Linked DNA regions of Daphnia pulex. The main gene of each other region encodes a partner of the protein of the gene in region 3 in a complex. Links are inferred from orthologs where the notes say so. Each region holds a gene or a part of one and is shown on either strand. Other genes may lie near its edges.

The links.
Region 1: general transcription factor IIF subunit 2-like (region 3) and DNA-directed RNA polymerases I, II, and III subunit RPABC2-like share a complex: the UniProt entries of both Homo sapiens proteins name them as parts of the TBP-based Pol II pre-initiation complex. The link is inferred for Daphnia pulex from reciprocal best matches to the Homo sapiens genes GTF2F2 and POLR2F.
Region 2: general transcription factor IIF subunit 2-like (region 3) and general transcription and DNA repair factor IIH helicase subunit XPB-like share a complex: the UniProt entries of both Homo sapiens proteins name them as parts of the TBP-based Pol II pre-initiation complex. The link is inferred for Daphnia pulex from reciprocal best matches to the Homo sapiens genes GTF2F2 and ERCC3.

What each region holds. Positions count from the first base shown.
Region 1 is NC_060023.1:6,841,255-6,843,925, forward strand, and holds DNA-directed RNA polymerases I, II, and III subunit RPABC2-like, read left to right. Parts: upstream 1-1,347; 5' UTR 1,348-1,505; coding exon 1,506-1,534; intron 1,535-1,609; coding exon 1,610-1,759; intron 1,760-1,821; coding exon 1,822-2,029; 3' UTR 2,030-2,049; coding exon of another isoform or gene 2,050-2,127; 3' UTR 2,128-2,171; downstream 2,172-2,671. Other genes in the region: chymotrypsin BII-like, read left to right, coding at 49-147, 213-328; LYR motif-containing protein 2-like, read right to left, coding at 2,050-2,127, 2,183-2,280, 2,349-2,388, 2,458-2,505. UniProt on the Homo sapiens protein: DNA-dependent RNA polymerase catalyzes the transcription of DNA into RNA using the four ribonucleoside triphosphates as substrates.
Region 2 is NC_060020.1:5,844,918-5,848,867, forward strand, and holds general transcription and DNA repair factor IIH helicase subunit XPB-like, read left to right. Parts: upstream 1-1,150; 5' UTR 1,151-1,309; coding exon 1,310-2,501; intron 2,502-2,571; coding exon 2,572-2,835; intron 2,836-2,900; coding exon 2,901-3,829; 3' UTR 3,830-3,904; downstream 3,905-3,950. Other genes in the region: RNA-binding motif protein, X-linked 2-like, read right to left, coding at 3-132, 194-352, 657-670. UniProt on the Homo sapiens protein: ATP-dependent 3'-5' DNA helicase/translocase. Binds dsDNA rather than ssDNA, unzipping it in a translocase rather than classical helicase activity. Component of the general transcription and DNA repair factor IIH (TFIIH) core complex.
Region 3 is NC_060025.1:405,901-409,711, forward strand, and holds general transcription factor IIF subunit 2-like, read left to right. Parts: upstream 1-1,518; 5' UTR 1,519-1,672; coding exon 1,673-1,866; intron 1,867-1,935; coding exon 1,936-2,087; intron 2,088-2,213; coding exon 2,214-2,300; intron 2,301-2,364; coding exon 2,365-2,489; intron 2,490-2,549; coding exon 2,550-2,693; intron 2,694-2,752; coding exon 2,753-2,869; 3' UTR 2,870-3,084; downstream 3,085-3,811. UniProt on the Homo sapiens protein: TFIIF is a general transcription initiation factor that binds to RNA polymerase II and helps to recruit it to the initiation complex in collaboration with TFIIB.

The sequences.
Region 1 (2,671 bases), on a different chromosome or scaffold from region 3:
TCGTGTTCTTTAATTTAAAATTATAATTAAATTTAAGATTTTGTACAGAGTACATCCGCCCAGTGTGTCTGTCAATTTCCGGTATCGACGAACCTGATTACGTCAACGAAATGGTTACCGTCACGAGATGGGGTACAACTTACGACGGTATTCCGTTCAACATACGACGACGAGAGAATCCAAAATAAAAGTTAAATGTTTCAAAAATTCAGGTAGTCCACGTATAAGCCCAGTGTTACATAAGATGACGGTCCGGCTCATCTCCAATAACGACTGCAGGACAACTTATGGCGACAACATCCAAGGAGGACATTATGTGCACCAGTGATGGCGCCAACAACATGGGAACTTGCATAGTAAGTGAACGCATAATCATCCTAGTGAATTTACTTTTAAAATGTATGCAAATATGGCAGGGCGATAGTGGCGGATCGATGAATTACAAACAGATGGACGGCAGGTGGAAACAGATCGGGATCATATCGTTCGGTTCGACTGAGGGATGCCAAAAGAAAAGGGTCATCCAAACGGTTACAACAGACTGAGCTCTTATTCTTCATTTCAACGTAGATCCGGGATATTATTGAATCAACTTCCGGCACTCATTGAACATCCGCCTTTTTATCGACACCCCTTATGCTCGTTTCAATCGTATTCGTGATTAGCCTTTCGACGGCGTGGTTCTAACGACTCATTTGAATGCCCTCCCAGGGCTCCCACCTACTAATGTACATTACTATATCGTTTATTCATTTAGTTTGTAATAACAAGTCTCAAAACAAGGTGAATCATTAAACGCAACATTTTCTAATCGAATCCAGAATTTGAAAATCTCAGTCATTTTAACAGTCCGGCAGTTGTAATAATTAGATACCAGCGTAAGCATTTACGTGCGAGCATGTACGACGGCGACATAATCAGCACGCAAATTGCTGTAAAACATTACATCTTTTACAAGTTGGAAAAAAACATTTAACTTCACCGGAAATCCCAAGTAGGATCTCTTGCCCTCGTCCTCCTAACGGCCACCGGTTTACTTTCGCCTCTGATGAGATCGACCCTCTGCAACCGTTCGACAACTTAATATCCCAGCTATTTAATACACATTTGGACTGTCCTACACTGTCGACGAAGCAACGATGTGCTGACATTTTCCATTTTAAATTACTGTTTTCTTATACCCTGTTACAAATGGATGCATTTTAGTATTTTACCATGAATCGTCCATTCGAGATCCAACCATAAAGTATCCACAGTCCACACGTATAGTCGTATACTTTATGAATCGACATTTGAATCAAGAAAGGGACGCAAGGCCACCTGGTGAACGAACGCCGAAGTTGACTCGGCCGACAACTCGACAAAGCGGTGGCGGTTGACTAGGGCACCATCGTCTGCACGCTGTAGCAAATGCAAATCTCTTAAATTTGACTGGAAATCTCGTGGTCTTGTTAACTTACTCAGTTTTCACTTTTCACTGTGATTATCTTACCCTTTAAACAATAATGGCAGACGATGACTTTGAGAACGACGAGTAAGTTAATAGTTAGTTGGAGTTTTTCTTCTTTTCTTAATCACATGTACAACATGTTGAATTTCTGTTATTTAGTGGCGACGATTTTGAAGATGCTGAAGACGATGATAACATGGATGAAATGGAACAGCCAGACGATGATGCACAAATTGATCTACTTCAGCAAGGTGAAGGTGGAGCTGGCCAACTGCAAACCAAGCGCATTACAACACCTTACATGACAAAGTATGTAACACTTGAAAGATGCATAGCTCATGAAAGACTATAAACAAGTCTTACATTTTTAGGTATGAAAGGGCACGGGTGTTAGGGACCAGAGCATTACAAATAGCAATGTGTGCACCAGTCATGGTTGAATTGGAAGGCGAAACAGATCCCCTGCAAATTGCAATGAAAGAATTGAAGCAGAAGAAAATTCCTATAATCATTCGCCGCTATCTTCCTGATGGAAGTTATGAAGATTGGGGAATAGACGAACTTGTAATCAATGACTGAGTCCAACATACAATAATACACTAAGATGTCTTTTTAATTGTACTTTGTAATTCTTTCACCATTTGTCTCCCATTGATGAGAAGTCCCTTGATTGTTTCCTTCAAAATAAAATTCTGTGAAATAAATTCCAAATGAAAACAAACTAATTAATACTTCATTAGTGTGAGATCGGTGTGTTTCAAAGTCACTCCTAGCCCACTTGATGATTTCGTCTTTTTGATGCCTATCTACTTTTCTAGCTGTGCGTAGAACTTGATGAACAAAACACTTGTTTAATAGTTATCAGAACTATGTACCCTAATATTAAGTAATCAATTACCTTCTCTGTATAAATTCAAAACCTCTTGCCTAAGCATGAACTGAGAGAGAATAATTTTTTATCAGAAGCTCTGCAATGTGATATGTTAATGCTATAAATATGGAATTACCTGCTTAAGAGTGAGCACTTTTTTAGGAATTCTTGAAATGGTAGACATAGTTATTTGTGGGTAAATTCAGATTACTAAAACCAGTTGAAAGTGTTTTGATTACTGAAGTGATTTATTCTAGGAGTCTATTATCAATATCATCTCACGATCTATTGACAATATTCATTAATGGTTAATTCTACGATACCCTTCAGAAAAATAACTATTTTTATTT
Region 2 (3,950 bases), on a different chromosome or scaffold from region 3:
ACCTTGATGCTATTTAAATTGTCAACTGCAAGAATTGTTGATCTTTGATCTTCGTAACATAAAAAACAAAAGCCTTTAGACTTGCCTGTAACCTTGTCTCGTACTAAATTGATGTTTGCAACCTCTCCATACCTTAAAAAAAAATTTTAACTATTAATAGCAATAATAAACATCACTTAAGTATTAACCATACTGAGAAAAAATGCAGATGATGTCCCCCTCAGACAATTCATAAGGCAATCCTCCAATGAAAATCCAAGCACTGTCTTTGTATTGATAATGCCATGAAGCTTTTCCTGATATGTTGTACTTCAGTTCAGTCTCGCTGAGTTTCTTGATATTCTTCACATTCCTAAGAAAAAGGAAATAGCCATATTAATAATGAACTTATAATATATTCTAGTCTAATAAGGTAGCATATAATATGCTTCGTTCTACGCAGCACCAGCAGATAACATGATTCCAAACTATATTTATGTTGTCCAGTCCCTACATTACAACACCCCCACACAAAACCTTCGATAAGTTTTATTATATTTACCCTCACTATGTGTTAACATACTTTTTAAGTTAGCCATAAATCGAAAATTTCTCACAAATAATATTGATACAAGATTATGAGTTTATGAATGATGCAAAAGCTATGTAGTACTTACGTTAGTGGATTCATCTTCGTCCAACAGGAAAGTTCTCGTAGAGTTTAGTTTAACTTGAAGATGGGCATTATTGCAAGGTGAGGAGTACTTAAGTCAGGATCGAAATCCGAAAGAATAATAACTGGATGTATTTGATTGAATTATTTGAATTGCTTTTCTTATTTCCGATGGCAGTTAGCGAAATGCCACTTGCCAAACCAAAGCCAAAATATCAAGCAGACGATCACGTTCAAGGAAAGAAGGCATGTAAGACGTACCGAGTGCGCCTCTGGTGTTTAATATATGCATAAACATCTGCTATTATGATCTCCGTTGATTGCTTGAATATAGGAAAATAATTCATTTAATTTAGAAGTTAGAAATAAGTTTTCAAAGTATAAATTTACTCGAAACGATCAAGAAGTACAAAATATAATTCTCGTTCTTGATTTTCCGCTAGGTGTGCTATGTGTGCCCGAACCATGCTTCTGCTTCAGGCGATTTATTTTTGTGTTGTTGCTCTCTCTCAGCTGAGTTTTCACTGTCAGTGTTCAGTCTTCACTTCAGTGTTCGTCCAAAGTTCATCATTCAATCACTTTACCGAGAAAGTTAAATTTGTTTAGAATTTTCCAGCAGTATTCATAGAATAATTCACGGTTATTCCTCTGTTTAATATGGCTGGGGGGAGCCGTAAATACGGGAAAAAAGATGGAGATCGTTATGACGCGTCCAAGAAAAAATTTGCTGGTAAAAAACGAAAGGATTTTGAAGATGAGAGTGCTTATGATGAAGGCATACCGGATGGAAATGAAGCTGAGGGTGTGCCAGAAGCGGCAAAGCACTTCATTGAAGTTGAAGGTGAAAGGCAAGGGGAAGATGAATATGGAGCCAAAGATTATCGAGACTTGCAGCTTAAACCAGACCACATGTCTAGACCATTGTGGGTTGCTCCCAATGGCCACATCTTCCTGGAGTCATTCTCACCAGTCTACAAACACGCTCACGACTTTCTGATTGCAATAAGTGAACCAGTTTGTCGTCCAGAACACATACATGAGTACAAGTTGACTTCTTACTCATTGTATGCTGCCGTCAGTGTCGGGCTGCAAACTCATGACATCATAGAGTATTTAAAGCGCTTAAGCAAAACTGCTGTCCCTGATGGAATTGTAGACTTCATAAAGATCTCAACACTCTCTTACGGCAAAGTCAAATTAGTGTTGAAGCACAATCGCTATTTTGTTGAGTCTCAATATCCAGATGTCATCCAAAAATTGTTGAAAGATCCTGTAATTCAAGAATGCAGACTTCGTCACAGCGTGGAATCTTCAACAGATGGACTGATCACTCAAGTTCAATCAAAAGCAACGTCTATTCAATTTGGAAAACCTGGTACTTCAGGAGAGGAACCAGGAGAAGAAGGAAAGCAAGTGCCTGATGACATATCGAATTTTTACGACAAAATGGACAAGGATGAGGACGACGAAGATGATTCTTCTCTTCAAACGGTTGCATTTGAAGTAAATCAAGAAAAAATTGAAGTCATTCAAAAGCGATGTATTCAGCTAGAATACCCTTTGTTAGCGGAATATGATTTTCGTAACGACACTCATAATCAGGACATAAACATTGATTTGAGACCTGCAGCTGTATTGCGGCCTTACCAGGAAAAAAGCCTGCGAAAAATGTTTGGCAATGGTCGTGCTCGCTCTGGGCTCATTGTTTTGCCTTGTGGAGCTGGTAAAAGTTTGGTTGGTGTGACAGCCTGTTGTACAGTTCGAAAAAGAGCTTTAGTTCTGTGCAATTCTGGAGTTTCAGTCGAGCAGTGGAAAGCCCAGTTTAAGATGTGGTCTACTGCTGACGATAGTAAGAAGTTGTTAATATGTTTTTATCTTTACTTGATAAATAAATGTTTTTTTTTTTTTTTTCATTTCAGGTATGATCTGTCGTTTTACATCTGATGCAAAGGATAAGCCTCATGGATGCAGCATCATGATCACAACCTTTAACATGATAACACATCAGCAAAAACGTTCGTATGAGGCAGATCAAACGATGAAGTGGCTCCAGGAGCAGGAATGGGGTATTATGGTGTTGGACGAGGTGCACACTATTCCAGCTCGCATGTTTCGTCGTGTTTTGACCATTGTTCAAGCCCATTGCAAGCTTGGTTTGACAGCTACTCTCGTCCGCGAAGATGGTATTTGATTATTTTTACCTGTAATGTATTTATTTGTCTGATCAACGATTTTCTTTATCTTACAGACAAGATTGCAGACTTGAATTTTTTGATCGGACCAAAGCTGTACGAGGCTAATTGGTTGGAGCTGCAAAAACGTGGATTCATTGCTCGAGTACAATGCGCTGAAGTATGGTGTCCTATGAGCCCAGAATTCTATCGCGAGTATCTGGCCTGTAAATCCGCAAAGAAAATGCTTCTCTTCGTAATGAATCCTAACAAGTTTAGAGCCTGTCAGTTTCTTATTCGCTACCACGAGCGACGTAATGACAAAATCATCGTTTTTTCGGATAATGTGTATGCTCTTAAGCACTATGCGCTTACCATGAATAAGCCATTCATTTACGGTCCAACATCTCAGAACGAAAGGCTTCAAATTCTACAAAATTTCAAACTGAATCCGAAGGTGAACACAATTTTCGTCAGTAAGGTGGCTGATACTTCCTTCGATTTGCCTGATGCCAACGTGCTTATTCAAATATCCTCGCACGGTGGCTCTCGTCGTCAAGAAGCTCAACGTTTGGGGCGTATTCTTCGAGCCAAGAAAGGTGCCATTGCGGAGGAGTACAATGCGTTCTTCTACACGCTGGTATCGCAAGATACATTGGAAATGAGCTTCTCTCGTAAACGTCAGCGATTCTTGGTTAATCAAGGATACAGCTATAAAGTCATCACTCGCATGGCGGGCATGGATCAAGACCAGGAATTGAACTACAAGAGCAAGGAAGAGCAAGCCAACCTGCTACAAATGGTTCTGACAGCATCGGATATTGATGCAGATGAAGAGCGTGTACCCGGAGAAATTGGAGGTCGGCCTGGTCCATTTGGACGACGCGTTGGAACCATGGCATCAATGAGCGGTGCCGATGACGCAGTTTATATGGAATATAAACGCCCATCAGCTTCAAATAATTTATCCAAACACCCCCTTTTCAAGAAATACCGCACCAAGTAAAGATTTTCCAAGTCATAAAATGTGATTACTATATCTCAAAATTCATGTTGAATAAATACAGAAACTGGTTTAATACTTTTTATTTCTCACTTTTTTTTGGTGTCTGGTGACAGGTGTGTGA
Region 3 (3,811 bases):
GACGGTAGGAAGCTGGAGAATAGTAATTAAACTAATTAGAACTCACACATTGCAAGACGCAAGAGGCAAGAAAAATTAGCCGTGAAGACGAATGGCGAAATTAAATATTCATGATTTTATGTGTTCCTGGAAGAGTTGGTCTTGAAGCGATGGCATACTTGAGATTGTTGGCTGCACAACTTTACTTTCATAAAAGCTCATAAAATGTTTTCTTACTCTTTGATTTTATTATGAAATAAATAACAATGAAAGAATCATAGGTTGAATATGAAATATCTTTTAATAAATCGCAATAACCGAATTAATAGCCTAATATTTAATTCACACATTTTCTTAATCACCTTGAATGTACTAATTGGAATACAAATTGCAGTTTAAAGTGCGATAACCGCAACTTGGGTTATGACTTTTATTCTCTGTTCGTTTGCATTCGACAAGAATATTTAGACTCACTATAGCTTATACTCACCAGTGTAAAATGATCAAATTTAAAATAGCCTATTCGTTCTTTCTTCGGTAGATAATTTCTTTCAATTATCTTGGACTAGTGTATACAACTTTCAAACTAAAATATATGTTTCTATTCTCTCGCACTGTCCATTTCAAAGCGCAATCAAGTATGTTGTATATTCGATCACGGAGTGGAGTGCTGGCCTGGTCGTCAGCTTCTTGATTCCGCCACCAGCGGCCACCATGAGAAAGGGAAACCCGTTTAGAATTTCAAATTGCTGTGCTCTTTTTATTTTTACCGTTTCGCCATCTCTTGTTTAGACAAATCTATGTTATACATGTATAGCAATTCGTACTAGTGATAGAACTCAATTATAGTAAAAGGAGTTAGTGGACGGACATTGTCCCCCCACAAGACATCGCCTTAAGTACCAATCTAGTTGTTATAACTTTCTCGATTTCGTAGAATTGTTTGATTTTGAATCCAGTTACAAGTGGTAATACATATTCCGATCGAATCAGACCAACTAGTACAAAAAGAGGTTTCCCAGTTTCTGCTTTGTTTCAGAGGGCGATTATATACTTGGCCAGGCATTCCGGTGATTTCGTACTTATTAAAATTCCAAACATTCCGAATCACTTCTCACGGGGCGTTATGAAAAATACCACATTATTCCGCGTCTGAAAGTTACACAGATAGACGTCCTGATTTGCAAATTCCTATAAATCTAGAAAGGCAAGAAAATAATAATAATAATAATATTAGGGAATTCATACTGAAACAAATTTGAGATTTGAGCATTGAGATATGCAATCAGGGTTACATTTGAGGAGGAGTAAAAAGCTAAATGAAAAAATGTTGGCCAATCAAACTATTTCCTGTTAAAAGCTTATTAAAGGGATTGTGCAACAACAAATTTGATCAGTTATTTTTTTTAAGGCCATTAAATTTCCATGCCATTTCGATTTTTGGGGGGTTTTATTAAAGAAAAATGCGTTGACGAACTGATGGTTGCGTAAACTTATCTAATAAAACAAAAGAACGCGCTCTGGCGCGATTTATAGCAGACGATAGACTTGAAGACCTTTTCAGTTGTGTGACGTTGTCGATTGAAAGAAGAAACGATTACTTGTTTTATTAAAGCCGGCCAATATTTAGAACTACATTCTCTTGAATAGGTTTTTCTAGTACGTTGAAGCAGAATTTTTAAAACTGAAAACCATGGAGTCAAAGAAAAAGGAGAAAGAAAAAGAGAAAGACAAGGAGAAAGACAAAGATGTCATCGTTTATGAAAGGGAAATGGAAATGTCTTCAGCTAGTCGGGGTGTTTGGTTGGTGAAAGTACCAAAATACATTTCAAGTCGATGGGATAAATGCCCTGGAAATATTACAGCTGGACAACTGAATATTACTAGGTATGCATCAATTGGTTTATGTTAACAAATCGACAAATCCTTTATTAACTCATTACAACTCTTGTTCAGGGTGCAAGGACAAAAGTCTCAAGTCAAACTTATTCTGTCGGAAGCTATTATGTGTCTCCAGGAAAAAGGAGAGGAACCTATTCCTAAAGAGCATGGATTGATTGTTTCACACATTACTTCACAAACATTGGGTGTATTTTCTCAACAAACCAGTACGTACTACTTGACAGTTATGGGGAAGATTTTTATTTTAGGCCTGAGCTTAAAGCATGATATTTAAAGTGGCGTGCTTGCAATTAATCTAATTTAATATTGACATTTTTGTATTGTTTCCCCAGCTCCAGCCACCGCGAACTCACCTATGGAAACTGAGAAGATCATATTTGAAGGCAAAGTTGCCCAGAAGCTTGAATGTAGACCAACAGGTGAGACCAACAAAATAAAGTTCCTAAGCTTGAAGTGAGCATTAATGATTTTTATTTTCATCAGCAAATGCAAGTTACATGAAACTCAAAAGGGATTCTTTGATTAAAGCTGCCCAACCTACAAGAATTGTGAAGCAATTGGATCGAGTGGTTCAAAGTTACAAACCCATCTCTGACCACAAGCATAATGTAAATATAGCAATTCTCGTCTATTTTTGGTACATCATAACCTTTTATTCCTGATTACAGAAAGAATTCGACGAAAAGAAGAAAGCTGAGGGTAAGAAAGCCAGAGATGATAAGGGCAAAGTTATGGACATGCTGTTTGCAGCTTTTGAAAAGCATCAGTACTACAACATCAAGGACTTGGTAAAACTCACCAACCAACCTGTGGTAAGAAAAAGTTGTTTTCATACAAGCATTTGCACTTTTAAAACCCTCTGCTTTTATAGACCTACCTCAAGGAAATTTTGAAGGATGTTTGTGTATACAATTTGAAGAATCCTCACAAAAACATGTGGGAACTGAAACCGGAATACCGCCACTACAAAGATGAAGACAAGGACTAATAAGTAAACAGTCCATTAACTTTCTAATAAAGCTGTGATTTTCAGAAAACTACTAAACAGCTCTTGGATGCACATAACTTCAGATAACTCAAATGGGTTTCAACTGCCCTTGAAATTGTTCGATAAAATGTTCTCTTAGGCTACAATTTTCCCTTCGTCTAAAAATTCCCGTGCTAACAAGTGTGTGGTCCAATACATCGATGCGAACTTGAAAATTTTACCAATATAATTTATCCCAACCATATCAGGAAGAAATGATTTCATGAGCGAGTTCAGTGCGAAAAGTAGGCTTATGTGCTAACGAGGAACCCCTTTTAAACAGAATCGTAAGATTGTAAAAACAAGAATCAAGTAAAAGGTTACATGTTAATATTTACAGCTTTTCATGGTACCCTACTTACAGTTAACATTATATTATCTCAGTCAAAAGCCATAATCTATTAGAATAGCAACAGCCTGTCTCTTGATGAGATTCATCATCCAACCATGATTCAACCAACAATTTAACGCTGAATATAGTTATCTACAAATTAATTTGTTTTAATTTTCACTAGTTACAATTTGCCAGAATGTAATTTTAAAAATTGTTTATTTGTCAATATAGATACTATAAAATACACCAAACAGAATTATTTCACCAGGAAATCTGCAACTTCAGGTAGCGATGTGAGGGTTCCTGTACAACAACAGAATAAGAATTAGCATTTCAACATCATAGAAAACCATTTAAAGCACACTTCAACAAATTATCCACAGTGTGCCTCAGTGCCTTCAACATCAATTACTTTATGTTACTACTATCAAATGTTTTAATTCGGTTCAATCCATGTGTTCCAAATAAGGAGACAACGGTAGATCAGAATAAATTTTAATTTAGCATGTCCGCTTGGCCACTATAAGCTAAGTAGAGCTAGTGTGGTTCAAAGGAATGCAAAATTCAGT